Oreochromis niloticus: one gene and its partner. Each later gene encodes a partner of the first gene's protein in a complex. Links are inferred from orthologs where the notes say so. Each region holds a gene or a part of one and is shown on either strand. Other genes may lie near its edges.

Region 1 (7,772 bases):
AGTTTTGAAAAACTGAGGGCATCCTTACTTTGTGATTTTATCATGAACCCACTGGTCTGTCAGCCCAATGATGGCCCACCTGCAAAGAAGAAGCAGTGCACATCTAACAGACCGTATAAACTGTATCTCAAGAATGTTTGCCATGAAAGATGACATCTCCTCAGAAAGCTCACCACAGCATGTCCTTGGTATCTTTAGTCAAAACCCACGCAAGCTCAAAAAACATCATCGCAGCCTGACAGGAAAACAAATGAAAATTCAGGAGTTCATTCAGAATTTCAGGTAACATTAATGTTCCTATATTACTCATGTGAGGTTGTCAAAACTCACCGAGGTGCCGTGATATTCATACTGCTCATAGTCAAACAGGATTTCCCTCCTGTGAAATTAATGAAAGGTAAGCTTGCATTCAACAGTTGTGCTGTGCAGAGAAAGAACCAAACAACTAAGTAAAAACACTTCACCTTCGAGCCTCCCACTCCCTCTTCGCTCGCTGCCTTTCAATTCTCCTTTCGACAGCCCCCTGCAAACACAGGACCACAGCCCCAGTGTAACAGCCTTAACAGTTCACTCTACCAGTTCATTCCAGCGGGCAGCACCTACTCGGTTTAATGCGTACCTCATCAAATCTCCTGCGTTTCCCAGACGGCTCTGAGCCTTCATCGCTCTCATTTCCAGAGTCTTCTCCTTCCTCATCTTCATCTCGAAAGATATCGTCATACGACGGCACGCCGAGGTCGTCATCCTGTTTGATGAGCAGCTTAATCTGTTGAGCAGAAGACAGAGAGTTAATGTAACGCTCACTTCCACAAACAAGTGGGAGTATTGTTAATCTTACATGCAATGAACTTCAGGTGCAAATGGATCATTGTTTACAGTGAAATGCATAAAGATAATGAACTATTTGAGGTTTTGTACCAGAATGCAAATACAGTACAGCACAATAACACAAGGGTGCTTCCATCTGTAGTCCTGATGGGCAAAAAGGAGACTTTATCTACATATTTAAAGGCCCCTACGCTAACTTTGCCCGCTGGACATTATCAGTCACAGAAATTAAGAAAAATCTTATACTTAACTAGCTGGGCACTTTACCGAGATGCTGGAGAGAATGTGGAGTAAAAATGGTTGATTTATGTATTTTGGACTTATTTTAACAACAACTATTTCTAAAGTTTTGGACTTTGATGCTTGTAAAGGTTTTACATTTCTTTACCTTGGCTATTCTCCTGTGGACTAAGCAATGGTCACAAACACCTTCTGAAGAGCCTGGCTCTACAGGCAAACTAGTGGTTAATATTGTTAAACACACACATACCAGTGGACAGACTATACACATCGCCAAACAGAATTGGAGGAAATGTGTGTGTTGTTATTTGGCTCCTGAGACAAACTGATGAGACTGATGAGGTGAGAAGCATGTTTTTTTGGGGGGGGTTTTAATTCACATATACAGAATTGTTTTTTCCCCCTTCTGCTTTAAAATAATACATCAACTTGGCCTTTCTTTCATCTTGCACTCCAAACGTCTCCACTACCATGCTCACTATGATGGCCATCATGGTTCGAAAACTTTTTACGTCCCCTTTAGCTGTAGGGTCGAACACTGCATCCACATCCTCATCAAACTTCTGCCACTGAGCTGAGTCCTACAGCCCTGACACCATCTGATCCTTCTCTTCTCATGCCTTGAGTGAATCCCTGTGCCACTCTGAGGCTCTGTGGGGTAGACCCTAGCCCGTGAACTTATGTGAACTTATTAGTGGGGATGTAGCCTGATTTAGCAAACCATTGCACATCACCTGGGTATCATTGTAGACATTGACCACATCTACAGGCCGGTGAGTGTCACAGATGAAGAAGATGGAGTCATCATCTGGCTGCAGCATCTCAAGGAGGTCAACATTTGCTCCGCAGTTGATGAGAACAAAGTATCGAAACTGCAGCACAAAAATCAGCCAACACAATACACAAGGTTCAGTGTTTACTGTCATATATTTATATACAGGCTCAGAGTAGTGTACTACAAAGCTTTCCTCTTCAGGTTCTCAAGCAGAAACACATAAAAAAAGCAAACGTTTCCATGGTGATCTCAAAAAGCTAAAAGAGAGACACCTTCATACTGGCTTAAAATAACGTGTTAACGTCAATCTCGCTTTGCAGCACAGCCTTCTGGTCTTATTTAAGTATACCTGCTCTTTGTGTTCAAGGAAGGCAGTGCCAAGGTCCTGCCAGCCTGTAACTGGCACAAGTGTATACTGGATCTGGTCACAGTGAAACAAGGCCTAGTGAAGACACAAGCAGTCAGTGTTTACATCAGCTTATAATTACTCTGAACACAGTAAAAGTCAAAAAAGCTCCATAAACTGCAACAGGCACTTACTGAAACCTACTGTCAGTACTTTTAAATATTCCCAGTTAACACATGAACAGATGGTAACCTCCCCATTACGACAGTACGGTTGGGTGTCCATAAGTCCATAATAACTAGAAGTATTTAATCAGCGTGCTCTCTGTTTACCCTCTACAATGACCTTAGTTTAAGAGCGCAAATATCCGTCATCATGCATAAAAGCCACTAGAACAAGAGAGGCAAAATAACAGGGAAAAACAATCAAAGACTGTGCACGCAAAGGCTACAGGAGCTGCCGCTTGCTAACATTTTATTGTCTTACCTGCAGTATTTTACAGGCGCAGAGAGCGTCAATGTCTGGTGCCACCAGGAGTACGACTCTCTGTAAGTAGCACGAGAAGGTTTATAATGTAAGCGATTTCAGTTTGCGATGTCAGATGTTAAGTTTCCTAGCTGCTAGGCAATGTTGGCTAATGTTAAGAGTTAGCCTTACCTGGTTGGCGACAACTTCATAAAAATCTTTTCTTATGTCCGCGATGAACATTTTCAGAGAAGTCAGTCGATTAAAACTATTGAAATAAGACGAGCCTAATCTAATCACCCTGAGGTGGCATAAACTGCGGGTTATTTTGGTTTGCTGTCAGGCTCGGAGCTTTGACAATACACACACAGCGATGCCGCTCTGTTCCCTGTTGGAAATGTGGCGCCAAATCTACACGTCACTCCCGACCAATCAGAAAGAAAAGAAAATCAGCAACGTCAAACGCCGGAAGTCACGCCTACCAGGTTGAGAAAACAGAGCAGTGCTGGGACTAAAAAGAGCTGAAATAAAGTTATAGCTTTATTTATATTGATTTGAAATATTTATTAATTTATTTAAAACGATGTCATAACGATGTTTTTATAATATGTGTAAACTCCTTTAGACTTTATTAAGAACACAATATTATTTTAACATTAGCGTTTACATTTATATTACCTCAAGAGTGAATTTATAATATTATAAATAATTATAGATGGTAACCTCTCTCTACTTCTATATTTTGGAGAAAGATATAGATTAAACAATTTAATAAAAAAGCAAAAACCTCACAGAGTTAACTATGATCTCTGTACCATACTGTTTTAAGTCTGTAAAAATTCTAAAACAATGACTTATGCACACACTTCACACATTCACAAAATTGTAGAGTTTCCACTGTGTGGTTACAATAACAGAAAAAAATGTGGATTTATATGAGAGGTTCACTTAACCGAGCATAAATTTATTAATGTAAATCTGGAGCTCAGTAGTGACACACACTTTACAAATATGTACTATTAAAGATGTTGTCATTGGCATAGCTATAGAAGTGGCAGTCATCACACATTTTTACACTTTAATGATAAAAGCTGTTATAGACTGAAATTTTAAGAAGTACTTCATTGATTTAGATTAAAACATATTGGAAAGGATTTTGCCCCACCTCTTTCCACTTAAATATTATATAAATGTATCTCATGAGCTTGTCTGGCAAAAAGCCTTGAAAGAAAACTTCTCCCGCAAACTCACAAAACAAGTCGAACTGAATTCTATTATATATATAAAAAAAAAGGTGTGTTCAATTGTTTTTTTGTGTGTCACTACCTGAATCTGATTTACACACCCTAACGTCTGCTAAACTATCCACCCACCAACTGTCCATTACACTGGGAAGTCATTACTTAAAATACCGTAAAATAATTTCCAAAGAGGAGACTTGTTTCTATATTTTTGGCAACCAGCAGAACTACATGCTTCAGTTTGATTTTAATAGGTGAAAAACTACAAAAAGAGAGGTGGCACGCGTGACAGCTTTGATTAGAGGTTTAAAAATCTGAATTATTACCACACACAATATGTAAATACATACAATATCCAGGACATTATCTCCCAATACATCATCTACAAATACTGGTGTGTCATAATTTGATATGCACATGCGTTTTAAACTCATTTATTAATCATCCATCATCACATACAAACTCAAAACCAGGACTGCTGACTCCAAAGAAAACACACAAAGGACAAGAGATCATTCAGTGTCATGGGGAGATTCATTAAAAGCATCACAACACAAACAGCACATAAGCATAAGCAGAATGAGCTGTACGATCATGGCATGAACAAAGCAAACAGTAAAGTCTCAGCAGAATCCCCCAACATCACTCTGAATGCCCTGAAATTACATAAATTAACAGAATGGATGGAAGCAATGACAAAAATATGTGTGAAACATGCAGGATTTTATGAAAACGCAGCAGCCTAATGAACTTTTTTTGCCTTAAAGGGACAGTTCACCCCAAAAATCTAACTTACAGATTTTTCCTTGTTTATTCATCAAGACAATTCTAGTACGAGTTGGTCAGATTGGTAGAAATCAGCTGTAGAAATCTTTTTGTCTTTATGGTGCTTGACTCTGTAGCTTAGAGATCCCCAAATTACATTTTAAAATTCAGATTTTTTTCTTTGACTATGGACATTTAGCTCCTTTTATTTAAGATTATAGACACCACTACAGGCTGGAGGAAAAATGTGTATGTCCGACTTCAGGGTGAGTCATACCTTCAAAGTTTACCCACAACTTTGCTCCCATTTTCATCCTAACCACTTCTAAAGTTACAAATATTAAAAATTCAAGTAAAATCCTGCATTCCCCCAAAAGTAAACATACTTGTACACCAACCCCAAAACATCTGTCAAAGAAATTCAGATACGATTTCTCTCCTCTTGTCTCATTTTGTAAAAATTTGACATTATCCACACACGTCTTCACTTTTGAGTCCACCAACAATTAATCCACTGAGTAAAAGGAAATGACACGTTTCTTTCTGAGGTTAAAAAAAAAAAAGCAGCATGCCATATTCACTGTGTAGTTTCTTTACAAGTGAATACACTGGAAACAAAAACAAACAAAAAAAAAGGTAGATTAAGGAAAAAAAGTTACATGACAGAGAGCATACACCATAACATGCAGCATATACTTCATTCATAAACTGAGAGGAACGTAGTAAACAAAGGCACAAAATTCATCCGCTTTCTTTATGCCAAGTTTGGTCTGTAACCACTGAGATCCAGCTGCTTTTATGCTCGGGTTAACCGTGCAAAACTTTGGCCGGTTCAACACACAAACAGAAAAAAAAAAAATACATTAAATAAATAAAAACTCAAAATACGCCCGAACCACAAATTGTAGTGTTAAATGTCTGAGATTACGATCGAGGAGTTTACATGCCGGAGAGAAAAACCTGACCAGCAGGAGCACTGGGAGGGTAGCACCATCGCCTGGAGAGGTTAAAACAGTACCTACAGTACCCCATCTACAGTAAGCCTGAGAAGACTCGTTTAACTCGCTTTACAGTTATGGTGACTTGGAATAACGTGATTGGCTGAGCTGTCCTGTTACACCAGAGATGATTTTATCATTTAAAGCAAAGCAGGCACTGGAAAAACTGTGAGAAGCGTAAAGCAGCACTGCTACATCAGGATGTTAATATTGTGGAGAACTTTTTACAGAGAAGTTATTTAAAAAAAAATCAAAAAATGGGAACATTGAACATATATTATAGGAAGACAAAGTTTTAAAGCATTCGATAAAGTAAAAATAAATAAGCGTGATCAATGTGTTTTACGTTAACTTGGCTTTAAATGCAAGAGGAGTGCTTAGTTGTTTGCACTAATGAAAGTTCATTTAACAGAATCACTTGGAGGTGTTATATACTTTTAATCACTAAACCCAATATATGTTCAAAACCAAAACAAATACTGTTTTCCTCTGTGCCACAGAGCTTCACTGCTGTCCAAAAACTACTGGAATGTTATATGTTTATTCATCCGCAGCTGAAAATAGTCCCTATTAATTGCACTTTTGTTTTAACAACAGTGCTCAGCAGTTTAAGAAGGTTTTACCTATAAAGTGGTGACTTTTTTCAAAGTTTTACATCATCAAAGCATCAAAACACCACAGAAAAGATGGGAAAGTCAAAGTAATATTTAACTTCTTGATAGCTATGATTTAATCATGGGACCAGCCAACATCAAGCCAGGCTTAGTTTAAACTGAAAGGCTGCTGCTGCCACTGCACTTTATGGCAGCATAAAGTTAATTTCACATTCTTAATTTGCAGGTATAACAAAGACAATCCTGTGTCTTTACCCAATTCCTTATCAAAAACAACAAAATTCTACCACAAAGTATCTTAGTGTTGTGATATGCTATAACAGGCATCACGACAGATGCAGTTTTACCCAGAAACCCCAAGAGAGACACGGTCTGGTGGTCACTAGCATCTAAGCTCAAAGGTTCCATTACACTGGATCATTTAATCACATCTTACTGTCTGTGTCATCTTGTCATAACATGCTTCTCTGAGGTTTTACTAGGTGTGTTTGTGCTATTTTGATCTGTGAACAGACAGGACAGTCAAGGACTTTGACCCCTAACACACTGATGTTTGCTCCCAGTGTTTGTTTAAGCCTGAGCCAGCTCCAAAACCACAAAGACCGAAACAGATGGTGAAAAATTCTCAGGCATTGAGTTTCGATTCTTCTCACAAGAGGAGGCGTCTATGCACAGAAATGAACCTCAGAGTGCAGTTAGCTTCCCTTTAAGCCTCAACCCTACTTCTTTACAAAGTTGCAAGTTTATAAAACAATCACAAAGTGATTCTCACATGAAAAACTCTTTCACAGCAGCTGAGCCAGAGACTGATGAGTGGTGGACTATTTGTACAGTGGCTGTGTAGATAACCTGCTCAGCTGTTGTGAGTAAAGTATGTGATCTATAGGCACAATACACAGAGTGTGCAGAGCTGGGCCACGTGGAGAACAGCATCATGATAATGAGATATCCCATCTGTACCCAGCAAACATTTCGACACTGAATAACTGTCACGGCAGAATTTTCAGACATCAAGTCACAGTTGGAAAAATACATGAGATTAACTGACATCATTGTTGGACTTTCTAGTAAGAGAAAGCTTGTGTTCAAGATTTTTTTCCTCACTATCTCCTTATTGATGAGAATAAAACAAAGAAGTGTCTCGAGAGGAGGAATCAGGAGAAAAAATAATCATGTCAAGTGTGACCTCTTTCTTTTCCTGAGCTTTCCTGAGTCTATGACACTGACATCGAGGACAGGGAGGGGATAATTGTAAAAGTTCAATGCATAAAGTTCACTGTGCCACAAATGAAATACAGTTTAGATGCAGAAAACTGTAAAAATATAAAGTGTTTTTGCAGTAACCCAATTTATTATTTCTCACTTTGCAAGAGGCTGTCTGACCTTGCCTCTATTCTACGCTGAAACAACACTGACATACATCTGTCTACGGTTTAGTTTTTGTGGTCGTACTGCGACCTCTTTTGACCTGGGAGATATCATCTGGGTTTTGACCATGTT
Region 2 (7,589 bases), on another chromosome or scaffold:
ACTACTTTCCTTTTAGAAATACTGTACATTAATGTTAATGCCACTGTTTTGCACATACCTACCTCTGTATATTTTATATTTTATATATCTTATTTTATTGTTTACTCTATTTCATTTGTAAAACATGTATATACACACTCACACACACACACACACACACACACACACGTAGAAAAACATATTTAGTACACACATTCAGTAATGTATATACCTTTATATATGGTACATATATTTATTACTTTTTAGATTAACCATTTTTATATTTTGCTTGTTGCACGTTATTGTATTTTGCACAACTCTGTTGCTTGTGAAGCTTGCACACAAGAATTTCACTCGCATGTACTGTACCAGTGTACCTGCACATGTGATGTGACAATAAAGGTGATTTGATTTGATTTGATTTGATTTGAAATGAAGCAATAATTTTTTTTCTTCCCACTTCCTCTATGGACCACCACTGTGCAATACCAATTCTATGTGCAATAACCCAACTGTATATACACAACACTATTTATTACATATTAGTTTTTTTTTTTAAAACTGGCTTGTATATTTGTACATTTTATATATATATATCTTTTTCCCTCTGTTAATACTGTCCATATGTATATAGCGCTGCAGAACTGTACCCCCCCCCCCCAGCATGTTTTGCACTGAGTAGATGCTCTGTATCTCATTGTACAACTGTATAGTGACAATAAAGGCATTCTATTCTATTCTATTCTATACCTAGTAGGCGCTGACACTGGCTGAGCTGACATGTAAAATAAAAATATGCAGAAACATGAGTGTTCACTGCCCCCCAGTGGTCATGTGGTACATTTATAAGTTGAATCCAATTACTTGTGTCCTTGTGCACAGTTTTGACTACTGGGGGTTCCAGAGTGTGGGGGCCCCTCCCTGGGGCCAGTAGGCACTCCCTTCCTTCCCTCCCCATCCTCAGCTGCCTCCCTCTTCCTGCTCCACCAAAGCCACCCACACACGCAGGGCTTGGGGTGCAGGTGTGTCACCAGGGTGCAGGGGAGGCACTCCCCCTCTGTCCCCTTCTGGCCGCCTGTGCCTCAATTTTATTCCGCAACCTAGACATCCACATTACTCATACTCTCATAACACATACCTATAGGGCCTTGGGGGTGGTCACGTTATACAGCGTCCAGAGGACGGTCTGTGTATTCAAACCCACCTCTGGCGCTGGTGCCCTACCCTCAATTTTAAATGCATATAGACACTGAGGGTTTTCGGGAGGAGCCGTGCTGCTCTCTGGCAGGAAGCACCTTGCCCTCCTGTGTTTTAAATGCACTTTAGAACAGCACGCAGCAACACTACATATGAGTGGGCAGAGGGAAGTTTGGGGCCTTCACTCACCCCCGTTCTGTTAACCGTCGGTGCTGGGGGGCTGGGAGGAGGTGCTGGCCGTCGGATTGGGGTCTGGGATGAGGGGCCTCCCTGCTACTGCAGATAAGGAGGCGGTCTGCTTTCCTCCACCCCAGAGAGAAGGGTTACATCTCCTGGGTCTAGGTACGGTTTGCCCCTCTGGGGGCAGGGGTACCTGGACCTGGGATATAGAGTATGTTTGGGGAGTGTGAATGTGTGTATAGTGTCTATTTGTGTCTGTTTCTACGTCGGGTGAGTGCCGAGTATTTGTTTGTGTATATGGGGGTGGGAATGCATGTTTGTGTCTCCGTCCGCCTGTTAGTCTGTGTCTATATGTCAGGTTGGGTCTTACACTCCACCTCTCTGGAAACATCTCAGGCTCTCCGAGGTATGGAGGCCTATCTCCCCTCACCACACTCTGCCGGTGGCTGATGCCCTCAGATGTTGGTGTGTTGGTGGTTCTTGGTGTCTGGGGCTGGGCACTCATGTATGTACCGACTCACTCCTGGTGGCCGATTGGTGGGGGTTGGTGCCTGTGGCCCGGCTGGGCCCCTTCCGGGGGGTGGGGTGCCCTCAGGCCTCTGGGCCTGAGGCCCGGTCCTCTCTGGCACAGCTGGCTGCCGGCAGAGCCCGCGGGCACGAGACTGCAACCCCTCTGGCCTCTGCTCCGTGGCTGCTGGGTGATCTCTCGTTTGGGGCTCTTCTCAGCTCTTCCCAGGAGGGTGGCATTAATTAATATTTAGTATCTACTGTTAGCTAGTTTATTGTGATGGTGTTGTATTTATTATGTTGCTCTTTTTTGTTTGTTTTCTCGTCTGTTTTTCTTATCTCCATACAGGTGATCCAGGTGTTTTGTTTGTTTTTCTTTTTTTTCCTTCCCCCCTTTCTCACCATCTCTTCGCCCCTCTATTTTTCTTTCTCTCCCTCTCTTTCTTTCATTCTTTCTCCCTGTCCTATCCCCCAGTCATGTCTGTCCCGTCTGTAACAACCGAAAATAAAATAAAATAAAAACATAATTATAATAAAGGTCAATCAAATGGACCAATATGGCAAGGCCATGAAGATGCACTTGGTAAAGTAAATCCGCTTGGCATCTTTCTTGGCCTTCAGACAACAATTCTGATGGCTAAAGATCCAAACGGGACAGGCAAAAAAAAAAAATAAATACATAAATAAAGCTTTGAGGCACAAACACAGAAAAACATTCGCTACTGCATCAAATAAGTTGATTCTCTGGGATTTTTTCAGTCTTTTATTCCCATCTAACAAATCCTCACTTCTAACTGGTGACCTCTGGAGCAGCCTTTTTCTTTGGATGGAAACCACTAGTGGAAGAGACAAATGACATGTAGGCTTGTATAAAGCAGTTAAAACAGCTTCACCACAGACATCTGCAGCAGTAAAATGCTTTCGGTTTTTAAATCAAAGTACATTTACTCAAACCCAAATTCCCTTTGGGGTTTAGCATCCATTGTAAAACTGCAAAATTGAAAATAAGGGAGCGGCTGAAAGTAGCTTCTACTCAAAGGAAAAGGCTTACAGTGAGTTTTACTAGGAAAGGAGGAAAAAACATGTTGGCTTGGCAGAGAGATTGAGCTGGGAAGGATTTGCAGCAGGTTACGGTGGTTAAAGATAGGATGGAAATGTATTAGCGAGTGAAGAAAATGTCTTGATAAGGTGGAAGGAGTACTTTGAGGGGCTGATGAGGAAATGAGAGGAAAGTGCAGAGGATTAGTAAGGAAGAAGTGAAAGTAGCTATGAAGAAGGGTGAGTGGACATACCTGTGGAGGTATGGGGATGACTAGGAGAGAGGACAGTGGGTGCATTAACAAGATTGTTTAACACAATCCTGGAGAGCGAGAGGATGCCTGGGGAATGGAGAAGAAGAATACTAGCACTAGTTTTCAAGAACAGTGGTGATATGCAGAGTTGTAGTAACTACAGAGGGATAAAGCTGATGAGCCATACTAAGAGGATATGGGTAAGAGTTGCTGAAGCTAGGTTAAGAAGAGAAATGTGATAGTGAGCAGGACTATGGTTTCATAGCACTACAGATGTGATGTTTTCTTGGAGAGTGTTCATGGAGAAGTACAGAGAAGGTCAAAAGGAGTTGCACTGTGACTATGTGGGTCTAGAGAAACCATATGATAGGGTGGTGAGAGAGATACCGTGGCAGAGAAATATGTGAGGGTGGAGCAAGACATCAGTGAAAAAAGAACCAACTTAATTGAATTATTTCAATTGGTAACACCTAATTTAATTAAGTTCTTTGAAATGAAGTTAATACATTAGATAAATCAGTTGTGTTACTCTATGTATTAACTTCATTTCAAAGAACTTAATTAAATTAGGTGTTACCAATTGAAATAATTCAATTAAGTTGGTTCACCTATTTTCTTTTTTCAGTGATGTATCAGGACAGCAAGACAGGGGTGAGAGTGACAGATGGGTTCAAGGTGGGGGTGAGACTACATCAGGGATTGGCTCTGATCCCCCTCTTATTTTGATGAGGTCAGGCAGGAGTTTCCATGGAATATCAAGTTTGCAGGTTACACCGTGACAGTTTGAGCTGGAGTTGGCAGTGTTTAAGAGGTTAGGATTTTCACTAGGCATGACCAGAATGGACACGATCAGGAATGAGTATATCAGAGAGGCAGGGTGGGTTGATCGGTTTGGAGACAAAGTAAGAGAGGCAAGACTGGGATATTTTACACATGTGCAGAGGAGGGAGAGCAGAAATACTGGGCAAAGGATGCTAAATATGGAGGAGGCAAGCAGGAGGAAAACAGGAAGATCACAGAGAAGATTCATAGATGGAGCTGGATGATCCAATGAGGCAACTCCTAGGAAGAAGAAGATGATGATGATAATGATGACGACATACTAATATTAAATATTATGGCCGGAAATGGCTCAAGTGCTAAGTTTACTGCGACGCTGTCACTCAGCTCATTCTTCATTTGTAGCCTGTCTGTATAACGCACGTGCTCGACAAAGACACGCGCACACTGAGATAACAGCTCGGTCTAGCCCCGTCTACAGCTGCTATTGGTTAGCACAGGAAGCGTATCGCGGGAAAAAAGGCAGCAGGACCCCGCGTCAATTTACGTTTCCGCTTCTAATTGGCTACGAGCTCAGAGACATTTCCATAACGTCGCAGATTGGTCGAAAGCGGCGCGCCAAACATCACGTGGTCTCGCTTTTCGCGCGAAACCGGGCTCGCTGTTGTCCGGAGCTGAGCGTGCTGTGTGTCAGAGAGGAGAGGAGCAGCTCGTGTCGGTTTTGCAAACTTCTTTTTGGATTCTCTTTGTTGTCGCAGTTTGACGGACTTGCAGCATGGATGTCGCCACAGCCACCGCGGAGACTGCCGGGGCGATGGTGAAGGACGAGCTGGCCGAGAAGTGCCAGAAGTTATTCCAGGCTTTCTTAGAGGAGTAAGTGAGGCAGCAGCGACCGTGTCGTATTGTTGTCGGCCGAAACGTGCTTGGCTTGACATCGCTCTTTTAATCAGCAATTATAAGGATCGAGTGCTGCTTTGATCGGCTGCTATTGGTGTCTTTTCGCTGCTTTTTCTTAACTCTCTCTCGCTTCCTGCGTCACCCTGCAGATTTCAGAGCGGGGATGGGGAGGTGAAGTATGTCCGGGAGGCCGAGGAGCTGATCAGGCCTGAGAGGAACACCCTACTGGTGAGCTTCACCGACTTGGAGGGCTTCAACCAGGAACTGGCTACCACCATCCAGGAGGAGTACTACAGGTGAGCAGGCCACATGACCACCAAGTCATGGGTGCTTCCCTCATATCTAATCCAAATACTGAGGTGGGAGAGTGCTCTGCTGCATTTCAAACCATCAGTTCAGTGCTGTGGAGATAAGCTGTGGGATAACCTGAAGGATTCTCTGTTTCCAGAGTGTATCCCTACCTATGCAGAGCAGTGCGCAACTTTGCTCGGGATCACGGGAACGTTCCTCTCAACAAAGAGTTCTACGTCGCTATCGAGGATCTGCCCACCAGACACAAGTAAGACACTGTTAACCAAAACCACCATGTACATCTCCATTTATCTGGTCTGAGCTGCCGTTTATTCAGCTAGATTGCTTTAGTGTAAAGATATTTGTAGAAATGTCTGCTTGGCTTGAATAACTTGGAACTAAATGGTGTTTAAGTTGTGGTGCATAAAGCAGAAATGCTACATCTCACACTGGTAGATGTTAATGGGAATGAAATGCCAAATCTGATCCTTTTCCTGTGTTAAATGTAGGATCCGTGAGTTGTCCTCCATGCGTATTGGCAGCCTGGTGAGAATCAGCGGTCAGGTGGTGAGAACGCACCCAGTCCATCCTGAGCTGGTGAGATGTTTATATCAGTGAAGAAGACACAAAGTTCAGTTTTTCGCTTGTCTTTTGCCATTAAACCCATTATGCGTCCTTTGGTGCAGGTGAGCGGTACCTTCCTGTGCATGGACTGCCAGGCAGTGATCAAAGATGTCTCTCAGCAGTTCAAATACTCTCCTCCGACCATCTGCAGGAACCCCGTGTGCAACAACCGCTCCCGCTTCCACCTCGACACGCACAAATCCAAGTTCATCGACTTTCAGAAGGTAACTGTGATAAAGGACGTGTGCCTGTCTGTCTGCATGGATGAATGAGTCTGATTCTGACCCTGTGTACCCTGTTTGTGTATCCAGGTGCGTATCCAGGAGACACAGGCGGAGCTGCCCCGTGGTTCGATCCCACGCTCTCTTGAGATCATCCTGAGGGCAGAGGCTGTGGAGACGGCTCAGGCTGGAGACCGCTGTGACTTCACTGGGACCCTGATTGTCGTGCCGGATGTCTCACAGCTCAGCACACCTGGTACTTTTTAAAATTTTAACCATTTATAATCAAAACTATGTCTTGTGGTGTGTTTTTGTTTTGTTTTGGTTCTCATGACTGTATGGATGTTACTTCCAGGTGTGCGAGCAGAGACCAGTACCCGTGTAGCAGGAGGTCCTCAGGGCTTTGAGTCTGAGGGTCTGAGAGGACTGAAAGCTCTGGGAGTCAGAGAGCTGTCATACAGGCTGGCCTTCCTGGCCTGCAACGTGGCGCCCACCAACCCACGGGTAAGAAGCGCTCGCCCCTGTGCCTAAAAATGCAAACGGCTACAAATCTTGCTGTGTGATTACAAATACGTCTTTATCACAGTTTGGCGGTAAAGAGCTGCGGGAGGAGGAGCAGACAGCTGAAAGCATTAAGAGCCAGATGACGGAGAAGGAGTGGGAGAAGGTTTTTGAGATGAGCCAGGACAAGAACCTGTACCACAACCTGTGCACCAGCCTCTTCCCAACCATCCACGGTCAGTGATAGAACCCCCGTCTAGCCTTTTTCTCCAATGGAGGATGCTCTCGTAGTTCTTTATCAAAGCTGTGACTTGTGAGTTAAACGTTAACGTGATGGTGCAGGTAACGATGAGGTGAAGCGCGGCATCCTGCTGATGCTTTTTGGAGGCGTTCCCAAGACGACCATGGAAGGGACCTCGCTCAGAGGAGACATCAACGTGTGCGTTGTGGGAGATCCAAGTACTGCCAAGAGCCAGTTCCTCAAGTATGTCACACAGTTTCCACCTTCACTGATTAGCTTTGCATAAAGTTTTTCTTTGTTCCATCTTCTGGCACAAATACTTTTCAGTACTCTCTTTGCTGTAGACATTTGTTGTACAGCATTGTTGATTTGAATGTGTGTGCCTGTGTAGGCACGTGGAGGAGTTCAGTCCCAGAGCGGTGTACACCAGCGGCAAGGCCAGCAGCGCCGCAGGTCTGACGGCGGCCGTGGTCCGAGACGAGGAGTCGCACGAGTTTGTCATCGAGGCTGGAGCTCTGATGCTCGCCGACAACGTGAGTGCTGCGACTTCTGAAGAACAGTGACGGATGTATTATTATGGAAAAAAAAAAAGTTTCTTTATGTAATTAGTGCAAGTAAAACTTGTTAACTGGTTTGATTTCAGGGTGTTTGCTGTATTGATGAGTTTGATAAGATGGACCTCAAAGACCAGGTGGCCATCCATGAAGCCATGGAGCAGCAGACCATCAGCATCACCAAAGCCGGAGTCAAGGTGACGCTTTCAAAGCTTTATGCTTTGAACACACTTTAAACACTTTTACGCAGCACAAGTGGAAGTTAAACTGCTATCAAATTCGATCGCTCGTCTCTGCAGTAGAATAACCAGACCGTTCCTCCGCT

Evidence for each region.
Region 2: cdc45 (region 1) and mcm6 share a complex: the UniProt entries of both Homo sapiens proteins name them as parts of the CMG helicase complex. The link is inferred for Oreochromis niloticus from reciprocal best matches to the Homo sapiens genes CDC45 and MCM6.

What each region holds. Positions count from the first base shown.
Region 1 is NC_031977.2:25,784,131-25,791,902, reverse strand, and holds the start of cdc45 (cell division control protein 45 homolog), read right to left. Parts: upstream 3,089-7,772; 5' UTR 2,898-3,088; coding exon 2,847-2,897; intron 2,736-2,846; coding exon 2,676-2,735; intron 2,286-2,675; coding exon 2,193-2,285; intron 1,941-2,192; coding exon 1,803-1,940; intron 767-1,802; coding exon 620-766; intron 524-619; coding exon 465-523; intron 380-464; coding exon 331-379; intron 236-330; coding exon 174-235; intron 80-173; coding exon 29-79; intron 1-28. UniProt on the Homo sapiens protein: Required for initiation of chromosomal DNA replication. Core component of CDC45-MCM-GINS (CMG) helicase, the molecular machine that unwinds template DNA during replication, and around which the replisome is built.
Region 2 is NC_031982.2:7,553,835-7,561,423, forward strand, and holds the start of mcm6 (DNA replication licensing factor MCM6), read left to right. Parts: upstream 1-4,555; 5' UTR 4,556-4,710; coding exon 4,711-4,808; intron 4,809-4,981; coding exon 4,982-5,128; intron 5,129-5,280; coding exon 5,281-5,391; intron 5,392-5,632; coding exon 5,633-5,720; intron 5,721-5,809; coding exon 5,810-5,971; intron 5,972-6,058; coding exon 6,059-6,224; intron 6,225-6,323; coding exon 6,324-6,472; intron 6,473-6,554; coding exon 6,555-6,705; intron 6,706-6,811; coding exon 6,812-6,953; intron 6,954-7,101; coding exon 7,102-7,243; intron 7,244-7,353; coding exon 7,354-7,461; intron 7,462-7,589. UniProt on the Homo sapiens protein: Acts as a component of the MCM2-7 complex (MCM complex) which is the replicative helicase essential for 'once per cell cycle' DNA replication initiation and elongation in eukaryotic cells.